Linked DNA regions of Mus musculus. The protein of the gene in region 2 interacts with the protein of the main gene of each other region in a biochemical or structural test. Links are inferred from orthologs where the notes say so. Each region holds a gene or a part of one and is shown on either strand. Other genes may lie near its edges.

Region 1 (8,182 bases), on a different chromosome or scaffold from region 2:
AGTCACAAAAAAATTTATAATCTAATTTGACACTATATCTGACTGTAACATTCGGCTCATCCTTAGAAGTATATAAACCCTTGCCCCCCCAAATTCCACCTAAAGAGGTCTGTCCTATGGAAATGACACATTTATATAAGAGTTTACAGACCTCCAGACGATTCTCTGAAACACCAGGTAAATTGCAGAAATGCTAGAAGTGACAGAATGTGCCCTCGAAAGGAAAATCCTGGAGTTAGTCAACAGAACAACATGCAGTTGTTCAAAGTGCTTCACAGGGAGATGTGTGCAGGGAAATGGGGGCTGGAAGGACTCTAAGAAAAAAGACATGAATACAAAAGCAGGAGATGGGCTGGCACAGACTGAGTCCTGAAATGGCAGTCAACTGTTTCAGCCTCAGTGTCATTAAAGAAGGTGCAGTGGACAAGTGGCAATGCCCAGGACAGGGGCCATCATGCACTCTGATTAACCTGTTCATCTAGACAGTCCTGCACTGTAGTTAAGAACATAAGGCTTTAGAGCCAACAACTAGAGATGCAATAACCAAAGTCCAGTTTTCCACTTATTACCTGAATCAACTTTGAATGTGAACCTTAGGTCCCAGTGGCCTGAGCCAGAAATGATAACATTATTTCCATAGTACTATTACAGAAAGGAGACTAAACTATGTATGGAAAATTCTGTGTTCAATGATCCTATCAGTATATATTGGGGAATAAGAGCAAATTTTGCTATATGACACTGCCAAAGAAACAGTTTTTAAAGAGTTTAGAAGTAGAATACTGTTAAAGACCTGCGTAGTGCTCACTCCTAAGTAATGGTGTTAACTAAACACAGGAAGGAGACTGTACTGGTCTCTGCTGGGGAAAATAAGATCCGGCAGTGTCTGTCTGTCAGGCCTGCAACACATAACCAGCAGTAGTTAAAGACTAGGCCTCCACTGGGTCTCCAGCAGCCTTCGGGTTTACTTGACCTTCTGCTTTCCTAGTTTAGTTGTAAGAACAGCAGTGGAGGAGACTGCCCTGCTAGTAAAAACAAAAAACAAAACAAAATAAAACAAAACAAAACAAAAACTTGACCAGGAAAGGGAGAGAGAAAGAACAGGAAATGGTGTGGGGAGAGTAGAAGGGAGGGCCTAGGAGGAGTTGAAGGAGGAGAAAGAATACGGTCAAAATATATTGTATGAAAAAGAGAATTTTAATACAGAAAAACAACAGTAACAGAAACTAGGCCTCACCCTTTAGTTTGAATCTGTTGCTTCTTTCGTTCAGTTTGATGTGAGCCCTTGTGTTAGACACATCCATGGGTGAGCATGAGGCACATCCACAGCCTCGGCATAGATGCCCTCTCACTATTGCTATCTGAGAGAAAATGAAAAATAGTACGGTAGCTGCAAAGTCCTTTCATGTCAGGTGCTGTCTAGCAAAGGGCCCCATACTGTAGATCTGCGGAAAATTTAGTATTGTGTACTGTAACAAAATGATTAGTAAAGTTTTGTTATACAGATGGGGCTCACAACGTTTTAATAGAGTGAAGGGCTTCTATATTACTTCAGCATTCCTGAATACTAACAAGGTAAAAATTGATATTGGTGTGTACTTAGCAGCAGATCATGAGAGCCTTGCTACGGCTGGCTTGAATACCACCACAGCTGCAGGTTTTATTGATTGAGCATCTGCTGTTTGCTAGCAATCCTAAACTACCAGTAGCAGTAAGTAAGACCTTTTCTGTCTTAATAAAGCTTCAAAATATATTTCAAGTTTTAATCACCAGAGTAGATTGTTCCATCTTCTGCTTTGCTCAGCCATTTTCATGAGACTGAATAACTAAACAACTGCACACAACATTTTCCTCTCCAAAGAGAATAAGCAAGAACAGGATTTAAGTGGAAACAGACACATCCCAGAAGATTCTATTCCCAGGTTGGTCTTTGACATTCTGCCTTTGAAGATGAGGATATGGGCTAGATGCAAGGCTGCTTAGGATCTCTTAATTTCCTAACTTTCATTGCACTGAAGAAGGAGGAAACAGCTATTCACAGTGTAGTGTATACAAAACACTGTCCTTGGATGGAATTGAACACATTTCAAACTGATTTCCTTCTACAGATAACTGTCATGGTGGGACCGGCCACTAGAGGGGGCTTATTTTGCATCTAGATCCTCATTTGAAGACTGAAAGAACTTCGGGTTAAAATCATGTCACCCACTTTACTCCAAATTTTCACGGAACTGTATATTTAAATATGACATTTTTCGACACTAGAATTACAATGGGTATGCTCCGTATAAAACAGCTATACCTTAAAGGGTACAAGTTAATTAAATTAGAAAGCACAGTCAACACTTGTGTTTTTTCCTGAAATTGAGGTATTTGGGGCCTCATTGCACACAGGCTAAGTAGTTTAACTTAAAGACTCATACTAAAGCTTGGTGACCTGGTTGTTAAGGGTGAACTTTGATTATGTGATTATACAGCTCACTATTTTCTGTTCAGGGGGGACAACGTAAGTACTTTCACTAAAGGACCTAAGTGCCAGCACTAAAGTCTTCGACAAAGCAAGCTGGTGACCTTTAAGGCATTTGAAGGCTCAGAGTTGATTAAAGGTGTTCAGTACAGATCTGATAAACAGAAGTCAAGGACCAAATAAAATAAAATATAAGTTCGTGGGGACAACAGTTTAGTTGTCCGAAATTATCAAATGCAAATAGTGAGACAATATAATAAAAGGTGTAACTTAATCTAAAAGGAAGTGTTGTCGTGTTAAAAAGGAAGCTCTCTATATTAACTAGAAACTAAGAGCACTCGCCGTTATAATGAATAACATTTAAGATGGTGACCTTTGTATAGAAAGCAGTTTATGTCCTTAAATAACATAAGGAAAATCAGTTACTTAGACTTAGACACTCAAGCGGAGCTCCAAGTTTTATGCCCATGTACATAATACCTGAGATTTTTCATCTCATACTGAGTTAGTATTACTATTAATGAAAACAGGGAACAAGCACTTGAAAGCCTCGGAAACTGTAACTGCCAGGAACAAAGTCAAATTGAGCAAACATGTTTTAACAAAAAGAAACCGTCCTACAAAATACTAAAGCACTGAAAGCCAGGGTCCAAAGAACTGCCGGGGTAGAAAACTGCTGAGTCAACGACATTTGCGTCCTTTAAAGTGTACCAACCATAAAACTTCCAAATTCTGATCAAACTATTTACACATGGACATCTCCTCTCAATATTAATTTGTAAGTCAAGATTTGAGGAACTAGGACAGTTGAAATTCTTAAGGGGAATTAAAATCCACAAATAACCCAACTTCTAAGCTAGTAACTATTTGTAAACAGTGTATAAATCTTAAGTTGGTTTTTTTGTTGTTTTTGTTTTCTTTTTTTGGTTCACTTGGTGATAGCTGTCATGTTTCAAGCAAAACACACACTACTGATTGCCTGAAAGTGTTCCTAAAATAATTTATTTTTTTAAAAAAATAACAAATGGTGAGATGTGGAAACTCCAAGGTAATTATGAATGAATGCATCAATACAGACAACTCCTAAATGGAACCCTGTCTCAATCATGAATCTCTTTTCTGAGGGGGGAAAAAAAATCTCCCATCTCATACAAATAGCCCATGGAAATAAAGACCAAAGCCTGTAATCTCTGTCAGAATTGGCAAAAAAAAAAAAAAAAAAAAAAAAAAAAAAAAAAAAAAAGCAAGGGGAAATGAACTACAGGTAGAGAGTAGAAATAACTTAGAAGTCAGTCTAGTTCTTTTTCCTCTTCTTAATGATTTAAAATTTTACAGACCCAAAAGCACTCCAAAAGGAGGAAGAAAACTGCACCAAAGAGTGGCTAAGAATGCCACCAAGCTGCCAGGGCACCTGTCCACTGCACACTCCAACCTGCTATCAATTCTGCGCCTACACCGAGCCCTGCAGAACTGCTGCCTAGGAAGTAAATGAGAGAGCAAAACAGAAAGCTAGGCGCTAAGAACAGAAAGACATTCCTTCAAAGGCACAGGTCCCCTCCTTCAAGACAACACGTGTTTAGCTCTGCCCAACATCTCACCTCAGTGAGCTGTCTACTTATCCTCCGTGTCCCCTAAAGCTCACGGCAGCGGAGATCTAGAGTGGAGGATTTCCAGGCAAGCTTAACTAACTAAGCTAGAGCGGCACTAGGTAGGTCAGAGCTGTCAACGAACCAGCCAGGGAAGGTCGCTGAGCAGTAAAGGTGCAGGTGCCTGAAAGCAGGATTTTTTTTTTTTTAACGCATTGGTTGAGACTCAGCTCCTGGATGGCGGCACGCGTGGGGACCTCCCGCACCCTCGGAGCGCGCCTGCCCGCCGTCACTCACGTTTTCTGCACCGGCTTGCGCCGCTTGCGGCTGGCATAGGTGATGTTGGCGCCGCTGCTCATGGTGCCCGCGCCCTGCCCGCTCCACCTGCGTCCCGGAGGCGGCGCCCTGCCCGCGCTGCGCCCAGGTGAGCCGCCGCCGAGGGCGGGACGACCGCGACGCGCAGGTGCGGGCGACAGAGGAGACTCGGGCTGCCCGAGCTGGCCGCGGAGGAGAAACCCGCACGCTAGCCGCGCCCGGTCCCGAGGGTCAGGAGGGGCCGCAGTGCTCTAGGGCTTCCCGGCTCCCGCGCTGTGCCGCGGCGTCGCTCACAACCCTGCCTGGCAGCCACCCCCGAGTCCGTCCACCAGTTCGTCCTCCGGGTCGCTCCGGGCTGAGCCTCTCCGGGACACGCGTGGGGCACCGAGCGTCAAAGGGAGCGCACACACACGCTGCCGCCCGCCGCGAGCCCGCTCCTCCGCAGCCGCGACCCCGCGCAGCTCCGCCCCGGGCTCCAGCCCCGCCCCACCTGCTCGGCCCCGCCCCTCACGGTTCCCAGGAGGGCCCCACCCTCTTCGCAGCACGTGATGACGCAGGACGTAGTGACTCCCAACACTTCTTGCAGTCCGAGGTTCTGGGGGTGGGGTGGTGTTCGCCCAGTACCTGTTTTCCAGCCTCAAAAGGGGTGTGAGGCCACATTATGCCTAGGCAAATTCCTTGTAACCCAGACATCAAGATTTACCAGGCAAAGAGCTTAGCTCATCCTAGAGTTGAGTCATCTAATTTTTGACAAAGATTTTACATTGAGCTGGTAGATAAATAACTGCGACTGGAGAGCATTCTAAGGGGAAAACTTCAAAAATGCCCTGCAAAGTTAGTTGTCTTGAAGGCTACGAGTTTTATAATCCTTTTCCCTCCCACATTTATTTTATGTCTACAGAAGACAATAAAACATCGTTTCCTCCATCAGACTTCAGGAAGATGAGAAGGAAAGAAGCACAGGAGTGCTGAGAGCATGAGAAATTGGAGGGTAGGTACTGAGACTATGACCAGAGACCTGAGTTTCTGTTAGTAGTACGGTAGAGCTGATGGGAGGAAAAAGAAAAAAAAAAAAAAAGATAATCTAGGAACAAATCATAAAGATTTAATGAAGAAATTGGGTCTCATTCTGCAGACAACAGAGAGCTTTTAAAGGCGTAATTTGGAAGATGATGTTCCATCTTTCTTGGGAAAGTCACTGTGGGAAAAGGTGGAAATTCTGTTACTCAGGAACAAAACAGATGGAAGAGAGAATCGCTGGGAAATTGATGAAATCGACCAGCTGCAAGACCAATGGCACAGCCATGGGGATGAGAGAAAAGAGACAGCAGAGATGATAAAGGAAGAGGGAAGGTCGCTGTTAACCACCAAAGAATAGAGGCAGAGAAGTGAATTTTGGGAGTCAGGTAGGTGATGCTGGACATGAAGAGATAGAGATGAAGTCTGATGTGTTTTATAGATTTGAGAAAGAGATCAGAAGAGAGGATACACAACAGCAAGGAAAAGGATAGCGAGAAAACTAAGAACAACAAATGGTGCCCAGGCTGTGGAGGAAGAAGAACCCGCATCACTGTGGGTGGTTGTAAACTGGTCCAGCCACTGTGGAACTCTGTATAGAGTTTCTCAACAAATTAAAAACAGATCCACAAGATGACCTGCTATTCTCCTGCGCACATACCTGATAGCCCTTCATTCAAAACAAGTGAGAAGTGGACCCAGACTAGATTCACATCAACCTATGGATGGATAAATAAAATGTAGTGCGTCTACACAATGGCATTTTATGGGACTCTGAATAAAACTGAAATCATGGCATTTGCAGGTAAACAAGTGGAACTGGAGGCTGCCGTGTTAAGCATGGCAGACACAGAAGGCAAATACCATGTTTTCTCTAGATGTATGCTCTAGATTTTGATTTTTACACATGTTGAAACTAGGAAAGCGATCATGAGAGTGGAAAAAGGAGCTCTTGGGTTGGAGGTGAGAAGAGAAAGGGCAGGAGAATACACATGACACAGAAGGAGAAGAGGGGATCCTGTGGGAGCAAGCAGAGCAGCAGGAGTGGGGGAAGGAATGGGGGGGGGGCGTCCAGCAGAATGGGAGCATGGTAATTCATACATTTCATTAAGCCCATCGCTTTGTGTGCTAATATTAGAAACAAATTTAAGAGTTAAAATTGATAGTTTTCTCAACTATGTTTCCAGCTGGGTAACAATGGCATGAATCACCAGAAAGAAATTATAAAGCTGGCCTCATGCTTCTTAGGTTTGAAATAGATTTAGGACATCTAAGGAAAGATGGTAAATGGGGCAACCTGTGAGGTAGAAACTGGAACTGTGATCGAGAAGCTGTTTGCTATTGGACAAAAAAGAGAGTGTGGTGATGCCCTGTGGGTACTGCAAAAGAACTGCCAGGACTAAAACCTGGAAAGCTCAAGAGCCCCACCCCCACTCCCCACCCCCCACCCCCCACCCCGAGAGCTGGGTCCACCGGTGGAGTGGAAGGTGAAAAATGGCCCCGTTATTTCAACAAGGAAGGCCGAGAAAAGAGAACAAAGATTCACTGACTAGTGTGAACTATTTTGCGAGGCCCCATTGTTAATTACTAATTAATAATAATGTAGTGTTGATTTAATGGGAGTGATGAGTGGGGTTGTTCTACTTCTTTACAAAAGATGAAGAGGTCATTGACTTTGTGAGGAAAAAAAAAGACAAAGGTGATAAGTAACAATAGATACTTATAGAAAAGCAGAGAAAGTGCCCAAGCAGAAATGAGATCAGGGCTGTGGTGGACTTGCTAACAACGAGAGCAGTTCTTGAGGGGCTTTGCTTTGTAAAGTCCCCCATAGCTTCTATAGGGCTTCATGGTTCCCACCTGCAATCCCGGCACATAGTGTGCTGAGTCAGGAAGGAGTCTACAAGTTCAAAGCCAGTCTAAGCACCAATATTATTAGCCTAAGTATGATTTTTTTTTTTTCTGAAATGGGGGGACTTGCACAGAATGTCTTTACTGAGTCCTTTAATAAGGTCTTCCAGGTGATCCAACAGTTTGGGGTTGAGTGCCATGTAAGTTAGGGGAGAAAGGATAGATGAGTTACACTGAGTAGACTAGTAAAATTTACAGTGGAAATAAAATGAAAGAGCATTTAGCCTTAGCTATAGAAGAATGTGTATGCCCTGTGATTGGTAGATTTCATTTTAATTTCATTTTAGAAATATATACATTAGAAATGATCTTGGAAATGACAACAGGAAAGTGGGAATCAGTGTTTTGTTTCCAGTGTATAAATCCCTGAAAAATAACTCAGAACTGTGGGATGAACATGCAGGAAGTGATAATCCTGCTGAGAGTTGCCTTTTACTTAAGGCAATAAATAAGTAAAATAAATGAATGAATAATTAAATAAAACAAATTTCTAAAGAAGACCATTTACACTGATCAGCAAATCCAGAAGTACAGGCCAAACATCTCCACGTCTCCTTTTCTTCCATCTCCTTTTCTGCATAGATGGAACAGATGGGACACATGATCATTCTATCCCAACATGCATTGAGTGGAAAAGAACAATTTCCTCTTAGCATAGCAACCAGAAATGTAAAACACATTAACACAGTCCATCAGAACAGAGTGGATAAAGTCAGAGCTCCTCCACAGTAAAGGGTTGTACTAAATGAGCTAAACTCTTGGTGGGTTGTTGTTTGTTTGTTTGTTTTCATCTCTTTTTTAAATGGTAGCTCTTTTCCTATCATACTTCTGTGTCTGGTTAAAATATTATTTATGAGTCACATCATTTATGTCCTCATATCCACTCTTA
Region 2 (7,432 bases):
AAATGAACTTGTGATTCTGTTGAACTTTAAGAGTTCTTTGTATATGTTAGGTAACAGTTCTTTCTCAGATGTATCTTTTGTAAACATTTCCCACCCTGTCTGCCACTCTCTCCTCTCCACCTCTTTTTGACATCTTCTATGTAACCCAAGCTGGCTTCCCACTTATACCCTCCGGCCTCAGCTGCTGAGAACTTGGATCACAAGCATTTGTACCACAGTCAGATTTGTGTGGTCCTGTCTGATCTTATGTTTTTGTATCCCTGCCTGGCGGAGGCCCTACAGACATCTCTTGTTCTAAAGCCAACCAGTCTTCACTGAACTCACTACTGCACATGGCCTCCTCTCAGTTATTTTCATGTGTGGTTAGATTTGCTGTTTATCAACGAAGTAATGTTCAAATGTGGGAAGGCCCTGCAGCCGGCAGCTGCCAGCTAAACAGCCGCCTACTGTCTCTTCCCAGTCTTTCTATTCCCTGCTGTATACGTTGCTTTCAAGTTTTTAGTGTCTCCTTTTTCCTGTTTCTGGGAGGGCCTCACAAAGCATACAGCTTTTTAGACAAATTCATTTCATAAAAAAGGAGACACAAGAGAACAGAATATATTAATATATAATACATACCATATGAATGCATAAAAAGTATATTTCTGTAAATCTGTCGGTCATCAGAATGGAAAAGATGTGAGGAGAAAGCTCAGATGCAGAAAACACTTAACTCAGAGATCATATCACACCAGTAAGGCTCTGAACAACTAGTTTATTTTAAAATAGACAAACTATTATAGAAAATAGGAACATAGCAATTTGAATGTATAGTTTCAACCGGTACAAAAAAACAAAACCAATAGTGCAGTGTCTGCAGCTTTAAGAAATCTCGAAGCAGGATCTCTGAAAATTCCTATGATTCTGTCACTAATTCTAACTTGAACTCACTAGCAAAAGACCTAGAAGTATGGTAAGCCCTTGACCTAAAACCTAACTAATCTGTGTGATGATCATGCAAAACTTAATGAAGAAATGGGGGAAGCTGTCTATTGCTTTTGTTATTGAGATAACTATCAAACTAGTAAAACTGAAACTAAATTGAGGACAAAATAGAAATTTGTTTCCTAACAAGACCAGATTTCTTTTCAAAAAGTATGGAGTTTAGAAAAAGTGATTTTCTTAAATGCTAGCTGATGCTACCTTAAATATCCCCTATTTTAAATTATACCATCTCTAAATAAGTTAATCCCACAAGATAATTTAAATACACCTTTAGGTGGGGGGTGAAGGGAGTGCCTCTATTTTCAATGCAGCTGTTTTCATCTGAAGTTTCTGCACAGCTGGACTAGAAATGGTGTGGCTTTGAAGAAGCCAGAGTTATTAGACCAGATTGGCTTAAAAAATAGATAACTGCAAGTTCAAAAGACCCTGGAAGATGTACCATTCCAGAGAGAACACAAACATCCCCAGATGTAGAAGAACAGAGTAAACTGTTGAGATGTAATTAGACACGTCTATGAGGGAAAAAAACTGAAGGCTTCTATAGTTAACAGTCTGCTTGTAAATCACAATTAATTTGTATCTTGATTCTTCAGGACCCAGAAACATTAAAAAGTGCACTTGGGTTGTACTGTACTAGGGTCCTCTTAAGCACAGTTGTGGCCAAACTTGACTTTCAAGTACTACATGGGTACTTATAAATTCAGTGATCTGAATGATTGAAAGAAAAAAACAACCTCGGAGTATTATCAATAGTCTTCAGTTCAAAGCATGTGTTGGGTGAATAAAAGAATCGGTTCTTAGAGGGTCTGAGGTATGAAATCTGTGTCAGTAGTAAGACAGTATCATATGATTATACTTTTTTTGCTTGTATTTCAAAAGTAAAATATGTGAAACAAACACACGGCACATTAGATTCTAATATTAAAATAGTCCAATGTGTAGAAATTAGTACTTTTTCCCAGTTTGTAACAATCTGTTTCAGTAGAAGATTCAAGATAATTTGGTTGAATGTGGACAGTCAATCAACTTGCATTTGGAAGACAAGACACATTTTCTAAGGGTATTCACGTTAAATTAAAAAATACATATAAATTAATAAAACCAAGAGCAAACATCACACATGTGCCATGAGGAAAGGCAAAGTAGTCAGCCAGATGTAGGGGGTCAGGACCCCTGCAGAGGCCCTCACTTCTGAGGGCAGCAGGCTCATGTTGGAAATGCAAACAACTTGCTTTCATATTTTAAATGGCATGATCTGCACAAGATTCTCAATCCTGTGTGCTATCAATTCTCTACCATTGATTACAACATTGAAGTGGCTTACGAATCACCCACACAAATATTCAGCTTGTACCTGCACATTTTATATCTCTAACATGAGCAGAACCTGGGAACTAGTCACAACCATGAGCCAGGAGTCTGGTGTCCCCAGGGCTGAGGGTCCAGGGCCCTGAGGTCCTCACTTTTCCTCCTTGTTTGAGACATCCTTGCTCTCATTCATTCTCTGCTTTTGCATTCGTGTTCGAGTGGAAGCTGGAAAAGCAACAAGAATATTAATAGTGCTGAGGACTCTGGGAAAGTAAGTGGACCAGGGGCAGGCAGCCCACCATGTCTGCACATGGGGTCCTGTGGGGTGGGGTGGGGTTGGGGCACACAAAACTTGAAGAGATATAATAGAGATGTATTAATTCATATAACTAGTATTTTAAGTGGTTAGCATATTTAATTTAGGTTCAAACGACACACTTAAGGGAAAGGGCTTTAAAAGTATGCAGAAGAAGTACAGCTCTGCTGTGTGCTTTCTCTGGCAGCTGCCATGCATGTCCAGTACCTGCCTGTAAGTCCTCATCACCTTCACTGGCAGTGGCCCCCACAAGCTTCTAAACACTTCTACTTTTTCTAAGTCCCTTTCTTTGCCTATTACTGGGTCTTGCAGCAGCTACTCTTACTACCACAGCTATGTGCCTAAGACAACCAGAACACTTAGCAAATACCGCTTCCTTCCATCTACTTAATTTTTTAGTCTCATAATAGCTTAGGGTGAAATTAAATTTGTCATACTATTCCAAAAATAACATTCATTTTATTGATTGATTGTATATATAGCCTGTCTGTTGCAGTGCTGAGAACTTAACTCAAGACCTTGTGCACATTAGGCAGCAAACACTCTGCTACTCAGTGACAACCCCTCACCCCACCATTCTAAATTGCTGTCACACTGACAGACCTGATCCCAATTTCCACAAATCTGACTTCCAGTAATGGAAACCTCTGTTTAGAACTGTCTCAAAGCCTGGAGAGTAAGGAAGTTTAACAAGCCCCTGGTGGTTTGTGTGTGCTCCATGGGTGGCCCTAAAGTTGTCTGCATACCACCAGCACTGACTGGACTCAGTGGCTATGGAAAAGGAAGAGGAGATAAGGCTGGGAGTGCAGTTTAAGGGGAGGTGCCTGGAAGAAGAGAGAAGGTGGCCAGTGAGGGGAGAATGCCATCAAATCATACTGCATACATGTACAAAATTTCAAAAAGTAATATTTTAAAGTACAGATCAACATCAGCTTAAGACTATTCAAAGTGTGCTGACCCACACTTTGTGAAACACACTTAGTCTACCAATGTGTGAGGTAAATTGTATACTCCTGTTTGAACTACTAGTTTGTAAATGCATAAATAACTGTGCCACTTGAAGGAATAATGTGTGGATTCCTTCAGAGTCAAAAGGCTTTCTTCAGTGAAATCAAATGCTGCTTCCCTGTTTGCAAAGTAAGAGAGGGGAACTTACTCATTTCTGCCAGTTTCTGTTGGAATTTGGACTCCGCTGGGAGATGTTTACTGCAGATTGGGGGGAAAAAAAAACACATTTTAAAAGCATGCATGCAACTTCCTAGTAACTCTGTTGCTTTCAATTACATGCTATTATTTTGGTTTAATTTCAAAAGCTTCTAAGTGATCTAAAAAAAGATATCACAAATTTATGATCTTATATATTTTTAGTGGTTTTTATAGAGCATAATTTAGTATTTTCTAAGAGTTTTTTAATTTAATGTTAAAACTAACAAATTTGTATCAATAGCTGTGTAAGTCCATGCTTAGACTTGTAATGTCTAAGTCGTCATGAATTTATAGATGGCAGATTTGCATGTTGCTTTCCACTGTACCACTTTACACTTAGTATGTTGTTTTCTCTTGTTTTTCCAGACAAGGTCTCACTATATAGCTGTGGCTGCCTTTGATCTCCCAGAGAGGGGCCTCATCTGCCTCCCAAGTGTTGGGATTAAAGGCATAGGCTACCTTCTCCCACATCTAGTCTCTTTAGTTGTTCTCACAAAGTGGTAAACTGGCAGGACAAGGCCTGAGGGGACTCAGGACGGGGCTGACAGTGGCTCTGTGCTCTGCTCAGCTACCTGGAGCAAGCATCTCCATGGTTCCTACCTCCCATCTGCTTCATCGGCTCCCTCGATGTCAAAGCGCAGCTTTTTCAGTGGTTTGGGGGGGTTGCCGCCTTCAGCACTTCTTTTGAGCACTCTGTCACTATTACACACCATCTGGTTTATTTTCTGGAACTTTTCAGATGTCTGTAAATTACAGAGTTCTTATTTTAAACCATTAAATAGCCACATTTTGAAGTCAGCAGCTACAAATTTTATTTTGAGATGCACCAAAAGTTAGGCAAAAGTAATCTCTTCATTTTAATTCTCTGCCTTACTGGACTAAGTGACAGATTTAAAAACAATTAGCATAAGGATGCCAATTCTGCCTTCATTAAACACCCATTCCTCCTGAATCCTCCCATCTATGCAAGCAGCTGATTCTCCCATCTATGCAAGCAGCTGATTCTCCCATCTATCCAAGCAGCTCTGATTCTGTGCTATCCCTGCGCTGTCAAGCACTGGCTAAGCCTATGGCCTTGCTGGCACTCAACGCTTGAAACCAGGACTTCTCAGAAGTAGTAAAGGTGGATCCTATTTCTAGAACTGAAATTAAAACAAAAAACAAAAAAAAAAAACAAAAAAACAAAAAAACAAAAAACCAAAAACCTTTTTTAAAAAAAGCTGTGATTTAGAGGATTACATAGCAAGAAGGAAGGCCATAGGAGCCGTGACTGATATACTCCCTGAGGTGGATTGAGTCATGGGATGTTGATATATCACTAACCATCACTCATCATGGATGGCATTGTTGAAATGTTGCTAATTTATAAAGGTTTTTAACTTAAATATTCAAAGACTTCACAATTTTAGTCCAGGCAATATTACTAGACATGTGACCTTGGTAAGACATGCCAGAACAGGCACACCACCCAATCTCACCCAGTAGATAAGTATGTGGAAACAGTCTGTCTCTTAGCTTCCATTTCATGACTGTCTCAGGCATGTGTATTACATGTTAGTTAAGCCAACAAATGAAGTTAGACTTTCAGATAGAACTTAAACATGAACTGATTGGTGCATTAGATAGGATCAGCTTAATTTAATGAAAATATATGTAGAGTACATATTCAACATGGCAGAAGCTAAGTCCCAGGGCCTTATTACTATGCGGATGAATAGTGTCTCCATTGTTTCACAGGCTGCAGTAAGCAAAAGTGTGATGACCTGTGTGAGCTGCCTTGCGTGAGGTGTAAACGAATGGTCCCACAGCTCCTTTGTAAAGCCCAGCAGCTACAGCCCGTCTTCAATCAGCTGTCACAGCACTGAGGATTTGTAAAATGAACTTTTACATTTTATTTAGCATATAAACTCCAACCAACCGCTAGAGCAGTGCTTTTTAACCTGTGGGTCAAGACCCCTTTGGCAAAACTCTATCTCCAAAATTATTTGTTATAATTCATAACAATATCAAAATTACAGTATGATGTAGCAACAAAACTAAGGTTCTGGTTGGGGCCAGCACACCAGGAAAGGGCCTCGGTGTTAGGAGGGCTCAGAACTAGCCAGTGCTCTAGGGTGTGCACACAGCTGTTCCCTCTCTTTCTCCTCTCTTCCTCTGTTTCCCTTTTCTTTCCCTCTTTTGTTTTCACCTAAAACAACATTAATGCTATATAGCCCATGCGGGCCTACAAATCACCATGTAGCTCAGGTTTGCCACAAACTCTTTTTTATTTTTTTCTCTTTTTGAAACTAGATGTTGTTCATACAATATATTTTGATCAGTTTCCCCTCTCCCACTGAGTTTCCCTCCATTTTTCTCTCCCACTGGAATTTATACCCCTTCTGTCTTTTGTTAGAAAACAAACAGGCATCTAAAGAATAATAATAAATAAAATAAAACAACTAAAATATGACAAAACAAATACACAGAAGAAAAAGGGCCAAAGAAAAAGCATGAGGTGGGCATATGGATGCAGGGCACGGGTTGGTACACGCAAGAATCCCTCAACACACAAACTGAAAGCTGTAACACACACAAAGAAAAACAGCCCTAGGAGACAAAAAGGAACTTCCAAAGTTGCCACTGAGTTTGTTTTGTGTAAATTATCTACTGCTGGGTACAGGACCTGCCCTGAAAGTATAGTTTGTATCCTCAGAGAGACTATTAGAGAGAACTGATTTTTCATTTCCAAGTAGTCACAAATTCTTGATCCTTCTACCTCAGTCTTCTGAGATTATAAACCACTGTGCTTGGTTCATCATGAAACCAATTATTTAAAAAATTGTATTTATTGTTGTTATATATGTGTGCACGCTGTGTGTGAATATAACAGTATGTGTACTGTGGTGCACATGCCAACAGCAGAGGACAAACTTTAGGAGTCAGTTTTCTCCTGCCACCTTTCATGTGGATTCTTGGGGTCAAACTCAGGCCCCTGGGCTTATGCAGCAAGCACATTTACCTCAGGTCCTTATTGATCAGAGAAAGACTAGCACCGAGAGGGAGCAGAAGGCAGTGGGAGGTGGGGTGAGTAAGTACAGGAAGGAGTGTTAGAGCGCGGGGGTGTGGGAGGAGGCCAGTGCCAGAGTCATGCTGCAGAGGCTATTGTGCTTCATTTCAGAGGACCTCACTTCAAACTTCTGTAAACATTTCTATGAGATTGTACACATACATGTTACCACATAGAAAGATATGAGGTCTTTGTCTTCTATTCCTGCTCCTAAAACCCTTGGAACTTCCCAAGTGATAAGGAAGATAGGGCCATCTTTTGTTCTAATAAAGAGACTCCTGATAGGCCCTTAGTATCAGTATGGAGTCAGAAAGACAAGCCCTGGTTAGAAGCTGGGAATTTTCAACCACGGTTCCTAACCTTCAGAGTAGGGAAAGTGGGTAGACATTTAGTTAATCAACTATTTGTACAAAATCCAATCCTTTAGCATTAGGCTTAGGAGAGCTCTGGAGATGCGGACTCCACAGGAGCGGGCCAGAAGCCCCAGTGGACATCACCCTATGTGTCTCTTCATCCGGCTGCTCATCTGTATCTTTTGTAATAAACTGCTATGGTCAGTAAACTATTTT
Region 3 (8,211 bases), on a different chromosome or scaffold from region 2:
GGACAGCGCCGAGGTCAGAAGCCACAACTCTACTGACCTTCTACCTCTCCTTACGCTATTCCTACTATAAACAGTCGGTACAGAGAGGCCTGATGACGTTTAATATGCATGCAATTTGTCCTACTTCACAGGTATCAACATTTTGTGGGTACAGCTAAGTGTAGTGGCACACACCTTTAATCCCAGCACTGGGGAGGCAGAGGCAGGCAGATCTCTGTGTGTTCAAGGGCAGCCTGGTCTATATACTTAGTGCTAGGGCATTCAGGGCTATGCAGAGAGACCCTCTTCTTGAAAACAAAATCAAAAACCAAAACAAAACAGAAAAACAGCATCAATGCCCAGACCAATTACTGGATATACTGAATTTGATCACAGCAATGAAAGAAAAGGGGAGGGCATGATTCCCAGTTTTCAGACTATAGGCGCAATCTAAAATGACTATTCTTCTTTCTTGTTTACATACAAATCCAAAAACCTAAAAAAGAAAAAGAAAACTAAGGGGCCAGCAAGGCAGTTCAGCAAGGACGAGCACCGTTGCTCCTGCAGAGGACCAAGTGCGGGTCTAGGCACCTCTGCGGAGCAGCTCACAACCTACTGCTCCAGGGGAGCCTAAATTCCCTTCTGGATCCCCAGGAACTGCACTTCACATGCACAGCTCATTCAGATCCACATCCATACACACAATTAAAAAACAGAAAGTAGAGACAAAACGTTACGAGGTAGACAGGTAAGATGTCTTCTGAGAACCAACTGCAGAAAGCTATACTTTGGCCTTAACATACACAGTGACTCACTGGCACACACATCATACACATCCTACATTGTGCACATATACAGTAAAAATAAAAATATGAAAAAAACATTAGTATGCTATAAAATGTGGCCGTTCGAATGAGGATGGGCCATTTAAGCTCGCGTGTTTGAATCTTTGGTTCCCAATGGTAGTACTGTTTGGGAAGGATAAGGAGGGGTGTGGCCTTGCTGAAAGAGGTGTGTCACTGAAGGGTGGTCTTGAGGTTTCATAAACCCTCACCTAGCTCTGTCTGTCTCTAGTGTGTCTTCAGACACTCCAGAAGAGAGCATCAGATTCCGTTATGGATGGTTGTGAGCCACCATGTGGTTGCTGGAATTTGAATTCAGGACCTTTGGAAGAGCAGTCGGTGCTCTTAACCACTGAGCCAGCTCACCAGCCTCCCTCAGCTACTTCTTAGTGCCACACTCACCTGCTGGTACCAAACTCTTTCCACCACGATAATCCTGAACTAACTTGCTGAAACTGTAAGCCAGCCCCCAATTAAGTGACTCTTTATAAGTTGCCATGTTCATAGTGTCTCTTCACAGCAACAGAACGGTAACAAAAAAGGCATGCTTCTGCTAGAAGTAGTTGTTTAGGGCAAAATAACTACTTGACTTTTCCCTAATAATCTGCAAAGACGTCTACTACAGATGTAAAGGAACACGTCTATGTCTTCACATTATGAAAGTTTCACACTCATGAGGACCATGGTAGAGATACACGCAGCCCCTGACTGGCCCATGAGAACTACAGTAGAAAACTGAGCATACTCCACCTGAGAAGAGTCCGGAGTTGTCAATAGGTCCAGGAAACAGGTTATGCTCCCCGACATTGTACATGTCCCAGCTGTCAAAGCCCACATACTTCTTCCACTGCTTGAACCACCGGCTGTCAATAAGATACCTAGGGAGAAATAGCAGCTACATATAAAATACAGCTGAATAAAGAAACACAGTTTTAAAAACCCAAAGCATTATGTTTTGCAGCTCTCCTTTAATTTTCATCTTTAGACACCTACCTTAAGCTCCTTATGGTCTTCTCACCAAGGTAATATACAATTCTCACAAAATCACGTTTGGGGGGAGGGGAGCTTTTCAAGATAGGGTTTCTCTGTGTAGCCCTGGCTGTCCTAGAACTTGCTCTGTAGACCAGGCTAACCTCAAATGCAGAGATCTGCCTGCCACTGCCTCCTGAGTGCTGGTACTAGAAGTGTGCATTACCGCCACTGTCGACTAAAATCACACTCCTAATATCAAGAACAGAAGTTAGCCCCACATGGCAGAGAGGGCCTAATCTATGCCAGGTATTCACTAAGAAAAATGACTGCTAAGAGAATAAGTAGAGGAAGTTTGTGGTGACCCACATCTATGATTCCAGCATCTGTGAGGTCCAGGCAAAAAGGTCAATCTACCCTGCACAGTAAGCTTGAGGTTCCCTCCCTTGGGCTACAAGAGACCCTATCTGTAAAAGACAAAACAAAGCTACACATGCTAGCACATGCTGGCCTTTACATCCCAGCACTCAGGAGGCATAGACACTTGGATGTCTATGAGTTCCAGTCCAGCTTGGTCTACATAGGGAATTCCAGACCAGTCAAGGTTACCTAATATGACCACGTCTGAAAAAAAATGAACAAGGGACTGGAAAGATAATTCAGAGGTTAAGAGAGTCTTGTGCTCTGCCAAAGGACTCAAGTTTGGTTCCTAGCACCCATGTATGGTATGCACAACTCTAGCTCCAGGAAATCCAACAGCCTCTTCTATTCTGCATAGGCATCTGCATGCATAGCGTGTGCCATACATTCTCATATTCCTCTCCCTCCCCCCCCTCTCTCTCTGCCTGTCTCTTTCTCTCTCACACACAAGACACTGCGATCACTTATCTGTAATCCCAGCACACAGGAGGCAGATGCAGAAGAGTCTGCAAGTCTGTGGCCAGCCTGGCTACATCTCAAGTTCCAAACCAGTAGGGGCCACAGGGAGACCTTGTCTCAGAAACAAACAACCAAAACCATAAACGATTATTGAAAGAATTTTAAAACTAATTAACTTTGGAGATGGCGGGGGGGGGGGGGGAGGTGCACCCTCAGTATGTAGCCCAGGATAGCCTTGAACTAGAGAGATCCACCTGTGTATGCCTCCCAGAGGCTGGGATTAAAGTTGTGTGACACTATGCCTAGTTAGGATTTAATTTATTTCAGTTTTTCGAAACATGGTTTCTCTGTCTGTCCTGTCTGTAGACTGAGCTGGCCTCAAACTCTGAGATCCACCTGCCTCTGCCTCCCAAGCGCTGGGACTAAAGATGTGTGCCACCGCTCCTGGGCTGAGTTTTTCTTTTTAATTATGCTTTGGTTATGTGCCTGAGTTTGAGCATGACTCCCAGTGCCCACGGAGGTCAGGGGAGTTGCTATCCCTGGAGCTGGAGCTTGAGTTACAGATGGCAGGGAGGCACCAAACCCGAGTGCTGGGCCTCAGACTCAGGCACTGCAAGAATAATCTAAGTTCTCAGATGCTGAGCAGTCTCACCAGCCCATGAGCAATCATTTCAAATGGACTCTTTCTACAAGTAAAACTATGTTACTAAGTTATTAATCACATTACCCACCACCATTTTTTTTTTTTTTTTGAGACAAGGCTTTTACTATGTCACTGAGGTTGGCCCTGAAATTTGGCAGCAATACTCCTCCAGGACTAAGACTACAGGCATGAGCATCCAGACCAACCTGAATATTCTTTCTGTGTCATCCCTTTGCAGAATTTCTAAAGTACCTCTCTCTATTTGTCTGGCCTTTCACTGGCTCAATTTAAACACCATAAACTACACCTAGACCACACCCCAAACACATAAGTTCTGTTCTCTTTTTCAGTCCTCATATTGGTCATAATCAATGAGAAACCTACCCTATTATTTGACTCCTACACAGCAGCACCACCCAGGCATTTCTCCCCGACTGGGGAGTACAATCCCTTCTAGTTAACAATCTCTTAAGAGGCCTCATATTTGAATCTGCTCTAGTAAACCTGGAACTTTTTTTTTGGGGGGGGGGTGCTGCTCACTGTATGAGACCAGCCCTGAACCTACAGCAATCCTACAGCCTCTGCTCCTGCAAACCAATAAAGCATATGCCAGCGTGCCTGGCAAAGTCTTGTAACTTTCGATCTTCTATTTTGCTCCAGGAGTCAAGCTCCCCTCCCTTCCCCTCCCCTCCCACTCTTACATCTAACTACTGCTACAATTGTCCCGGACCATCTGACAACTGGCTTCTAGTTTTTGGCTTTGAATCCTGTCCCACGGTTTACAAGTTACAAAGTATCACAGTTTACAAGTTACAAAGTATCCACTTCGGATCCTCTCTCCACGCCAGGAGCGTCCTAAGCCACAAATTGCTACCGAGGTTTTAATTGTTAAGGATCGGAGGTGTGTAAGGGGTGGAAACTTCCCCCACCAAGGTCACCATCAAGCGCCCAAGTCTTCGGTGGTTAAGTGCTTTCCCCCACCTTCCCGCTCCCGCCGACCCCAGCGCGCCCCCTTTTCTATATTCTACACCCCCTGTCCCCGCCGGTCCAAGACTACTGTGAATCCGAATGGACCGGGACAAACCCCACGCCTGTCAGCGCTGTCCCCCAGCTGATCCCGGGGTTTCTTTCATCAGCGGCCGCTGTCAAGCCACTCTTTCAGACTCCAGGCACCGCCCCCGGCCCGCCTCCACCTAAAACTGAGGACAGAGGTCCGGCCTGAGGGCCAGCGAGCCGGCTAGACGCTCTGCGCCGCAGGAGGGCAGGGCGGACGCTCACCACTGCGCCCCACGTTGGAGCGTGGTCCCCATCAAGGCTCCGAGCTCCGTCTTCTGGGTCTCCACATCCGGTCGCTCACGGCTGCCCCGGCCTTCCGCCATCTCGTCCGCCGCCCCGGCCCAGCCGGCCCGGACATCCGCCTAGCGCACGGCGTGCTATGGGCCGCGCCCACGCACGCACGTAACCACGCACGTGCGCGCGCCCGGCACCGCCGTCGACTTTCGCCTCTTCTCCCCGCCCCCACGCGCTGTTAACCCCCCCCCGCCCCCTCCGGAGCCGAAGCGGACAGAAGCAGGCTGGACGCCCAGAGGCGGCGGCCACATCCACCCGTGTCTGAGCGGCTCCTGCGATCTGACTGCTGGCCCGCCCTCGACCCATCAGTCACTCGCTCCATCCTGGCCTGTGAGGTTAGCCTGATGCTAAATCCGTGCAGGAGGAGCCTGCCGCTTGCTTTTCTTGTTTCCACTCGGTTCCATGCGGCTTTCAGCAAGACTGCCTAAATGCGAGATTGAATTTACTGCCTCGGCAGCCCCTGTAGCCAAGTGCACACGGACGCATTGAGATCTGGACTGTCCGGTGTGGTCCAGCCATTAATAGTTGTTTCAAACAAGGGCCGGCGCGATGGCTACGTGGGTGACAACTGGGTTTGATCCCCAGAACCCGTGTAAAAGTGGAAAAAGAAAACTGACTCTTTAAAGTTGTCCTTTGTTCTCGACACAGACACTGTGGCACGCGTTCGCCAAACAGGCACACAATAGTGAAATTTGTTGTTTGTTTGGGACAGGTTTCTTCTAGCTGCTGTCCTGGAGCTGTTTATGTAATCTAGGCTAGTCTCGAATTTAGGCCCATTTGCCCTTTTCTCCAGAGTGCTGGGATTAAAAGCATACATCACCACACCTGCAAAAAACAAAAATAAAGTCATAAATAGACGCAAAAAACAAAGTTGTCTTAAACAACTTTGTATCCTGTCAGCCATCCAGGTCAAGGAGAGAGTAGCAACCACCGAAGCCGACAGAGGTCCAGGCATCTTAATTTTTTCCTGAAACAATGATTCCGTTTTCTTCCGGGCGGTGATGGCACAGGCTTTTAACCCAGCACTCAGGAGGCAGAGGTAGGCAGATCTCTGAATTCGAAGCCAGCCTGGTCTACAGAGAGAATTTTAGGACAACCAAGGCTACAAGAAACCCTGTCTTGAGGAGAAGAAGAAGAAGAAGAAGAAGAAGGAGAAGGAGGAGAAGGAGGAGGAGAAGGAGGAGAAGAAGGAGGAGGAGGAGAAGAAGGAAAAGGAGAAGGAGAAGGAGAAAAGGAGAAGGAGGAGGAGGAGGAGGAGGAGGAGGAGGAGGAGGAGGAGGAGGAGGAGAAGGAGAAGGAGAAGGAGAAGGAGAAGGAGAAGGAGAAGGAGAAGAAGAAGAAGAAGAAGAAGAAGAAGAAGAAGAAGAAGAAGAAGAAGAAAAAGAAAAGATTGCAAGTCTTGAAAATCTTGCTCTGGAACAGGTTTAAAAGCATGGTAGAAAGCCATCTGTGGAGATGCCCGGGCAACTGGTGAGCTTTTGCTTTTCAGGCAAATCCTGTTTTGTTTCGGTTTTTTTTTTTTCGAGACAGGGTTTCTCTGTGTAGCCCTGGCTGTCCTGGAACTCACTCTGTAGACCAGACTGACCTTGAACTCAGAAATCCGCCTGCCTCTGCCTCCTGCTGTGGTTAAAGGTGTGCACCACCACACCTGGCACAAATCCTGTTCTTAACAGTAAGGCAAGTAAAACAGTTTCTTGGCGGATAGGAAAGCATGTCCTTCAAAAAACTAATACAAAACAAACGAACCCCCAATTCCCTCACCTTCCCAGTAGATTAAAAAAAAAAGATACATTTTATTTTATGTGTATGTGTGTGCGCCCTGCATAAATGTATGTGCACCACCTGTATGCAGGCACCCTCAGGCCAGAGAGCATTGTAACCCCGAGAGCAATGGTTCTCAACCTTCCTTATGCTGGGAGTCTTTAATACAGTTCCTCATGTTGTAGTGACCCCCCTACCAAATTATTTTGTTGCTACTTCACAGGTGTAATTTTGCCGGGCAGTGGTGGCACAGGCCTTTGATCCCAGCACTTGGGAGGCAGAGGCAGGTATATTTCTTTTTTTTTTTTTTTTTTTTTTTTTTTTGGTTTTTCGAGACAGAGTTTCTCTGTGTAGCCCTGGCTCTCCTGGAACTCACTTTGTAGACCAGGCTGGCCTCCAACTCAGAAATCTGCCTGCCTCTGCCTCCCGAGTGCTGGGATTAAAGGCATGAGCCACCATGCTGGGCTGGCAGGTGGATTTCTGAGTTGGAGGCCAGCCTGGTCTACAGAGTGAGTAACGGGACAGCTAGGGCTATACAGAGAAACCCTGTCTCGAAAAACCAAAAAAGAAAAAAAGAAAAGAAAAGCTTAAAAAGGAAAAAAAAAAAAATGGAAGACTTTGATTTAAGTAATGTTTGAGTATGGTCCTGAAGAAACAGTTGGGAGGAAGAAGCATAAATCAGAAGGAATGCAATTCATTGTCAGAGTGGGGATTAGGCCAAAGAGCTGAGCTTTGACTGTTGGGAAGGTTAAGGAGTCTACAGCTAGAGAGGAAGCAAGTGGGACCACTAGTTTAATGAAGGCAGTCATTAGAGATTGGGACAGAGGTGAGATGCCTGAGGGTGTCTTACAGCACAAAGAGGCACCGGGGACCTAGGTCAGTTAGGAACCAAATGACTGTAGCTTCAGGGGAAGACACAGATCTCGGCTGTCGTGGCAGAGGGGATCCATCCAGTGCAGGTGACATAGGTCACTTGAGAAGACTGTATGTTGGCTTTTTTGTTTGTTTGGTTTTGGTTTTTTAGCTAATTGACATAATTTTTTTTTAAATAGTTTTTTTTTTTTAATATTTATTTATTTATTATATGTAAGTACACTGTAGCTGTCCTCAGACACACCAGAAGAGGGAGTCAGATCTTGTTAGGGATGGTTGTGAGCCACCATGTGGTTGCTGGGATTCGAACTCTGGACCTTCGGAAGAGCAGTCGGGTGCTCTTACCCACTGAGCCATCTCACCAGCCCATAATTGACATAATTTGGTCTCTGTGGGACATCTGTGTTAAAGTGACAGCAGAGACACTGGGAGGAGTTAAAGGAGTACTTAAAATAGCCTTGAAGCTAAGCGTGCTACCCCACGTCAGTCCATGAGCCCACCCACCCTAGGGAAGTTGAGGCTGGGGGATCTCAAATTCCAGACCAGTGGCTGCATTGTAAGACCTTGAAAAAGAAAAAGAAAAAAAAAAAAAAAGATGGTGCCTCATCTGCTGCCAAGCTTGGTGACCTGGTCCATTGATCCATCCTGGGGATTCCTAAGGACTCTGACTCCGAAGAGAGTTGCCCTCTGACCTACACACACACACACACACACAAGGAATACATTTAAATGCAGTTTAAGGGGAGAAGCAGTGAGATGGTTCAGCAAGTAAAGGCACCTGCTACAAATCCAAGGACCTGAGCTTGACCCCCGAAGCCCACAAGCTGGAGAGAAACATCTACTTCTTGCCCTCTCACCTTCACACACTGTAACAGATGAACAAAATGTAACAACAGAATGAAAGAAAAGATAGAC

Evidence for each region.
Region 1: the proteins of Rb1 (region 2) and Ahr form a complex in vitro, tested with the Homo sapiens proteins (2 studies listed by BioGRID). The link is inferred for Mus musculus from reciprocal best matches to the Homo sapiens genes RB1 and AHR.
Region 3: the proteins of Rb1 (region 2) and Usp4 form a complex in vitro, tested with the Homo sapiens proteins (2 studies listed by BioGRID). The link is inferred for Mus musculus from reciprocal best matches to the Homo sapiens genes RB1 and USP4.

What each region holds. Positions count from the first base shown.
Region 1 is NC_000078.6:35,530,212-35,538,393, forward strand, and holds the start of Ahr (aryl hydrocarbon receptor), read right to left. Parts: upstream 4,779-8,182; 5' UTR 4,413-4,778; coding exon 4,351-4,412; intron 1-4,350. UniProt on the Homo sapiens protein: Ligand-activated transcription factor that enables cells to adapt to changing conditions by sensing compounds from the environment, diet, microbiome and cellular metabolism, and which plays important roles in development, immunity and cancer.
Region 2 is NC_000080.6:73,194,768-73,202,199, forward strand, and holds the end of Rb1 (retinoblastoma-associated protein), read right to left. Parts: intron 4,558-7,432; coding exon 4,415-4,557; intron 3,815-4,414; coding exon 3,765-3,814; intron 2,518-3,764; coding exon 2,444-2,517; 3' UTR 735-2,443; downstream 1-734. UniProt on the Homo sapiens protein: Tumor suppressor that is a key regulator of the G1/S transition of the cell cycle. The hypophosphorylated form binds transcription regulators of the E2F family, preventing transcription of E2F-responsive genes.
Region 3 is NC_000075.6:108,344,398-108,352,608, reverse strand, and holds the start of Usp4 (ubiquitin carboxyl-terminal hydrolase 4), read right to left. Parts: upstream 4,779-8,211; 5' UTR 4,692-4,778; coding exon 4,591-4,691; intron 1,700-4,590; coding exon 1,572-1,699; intron 1-1,571.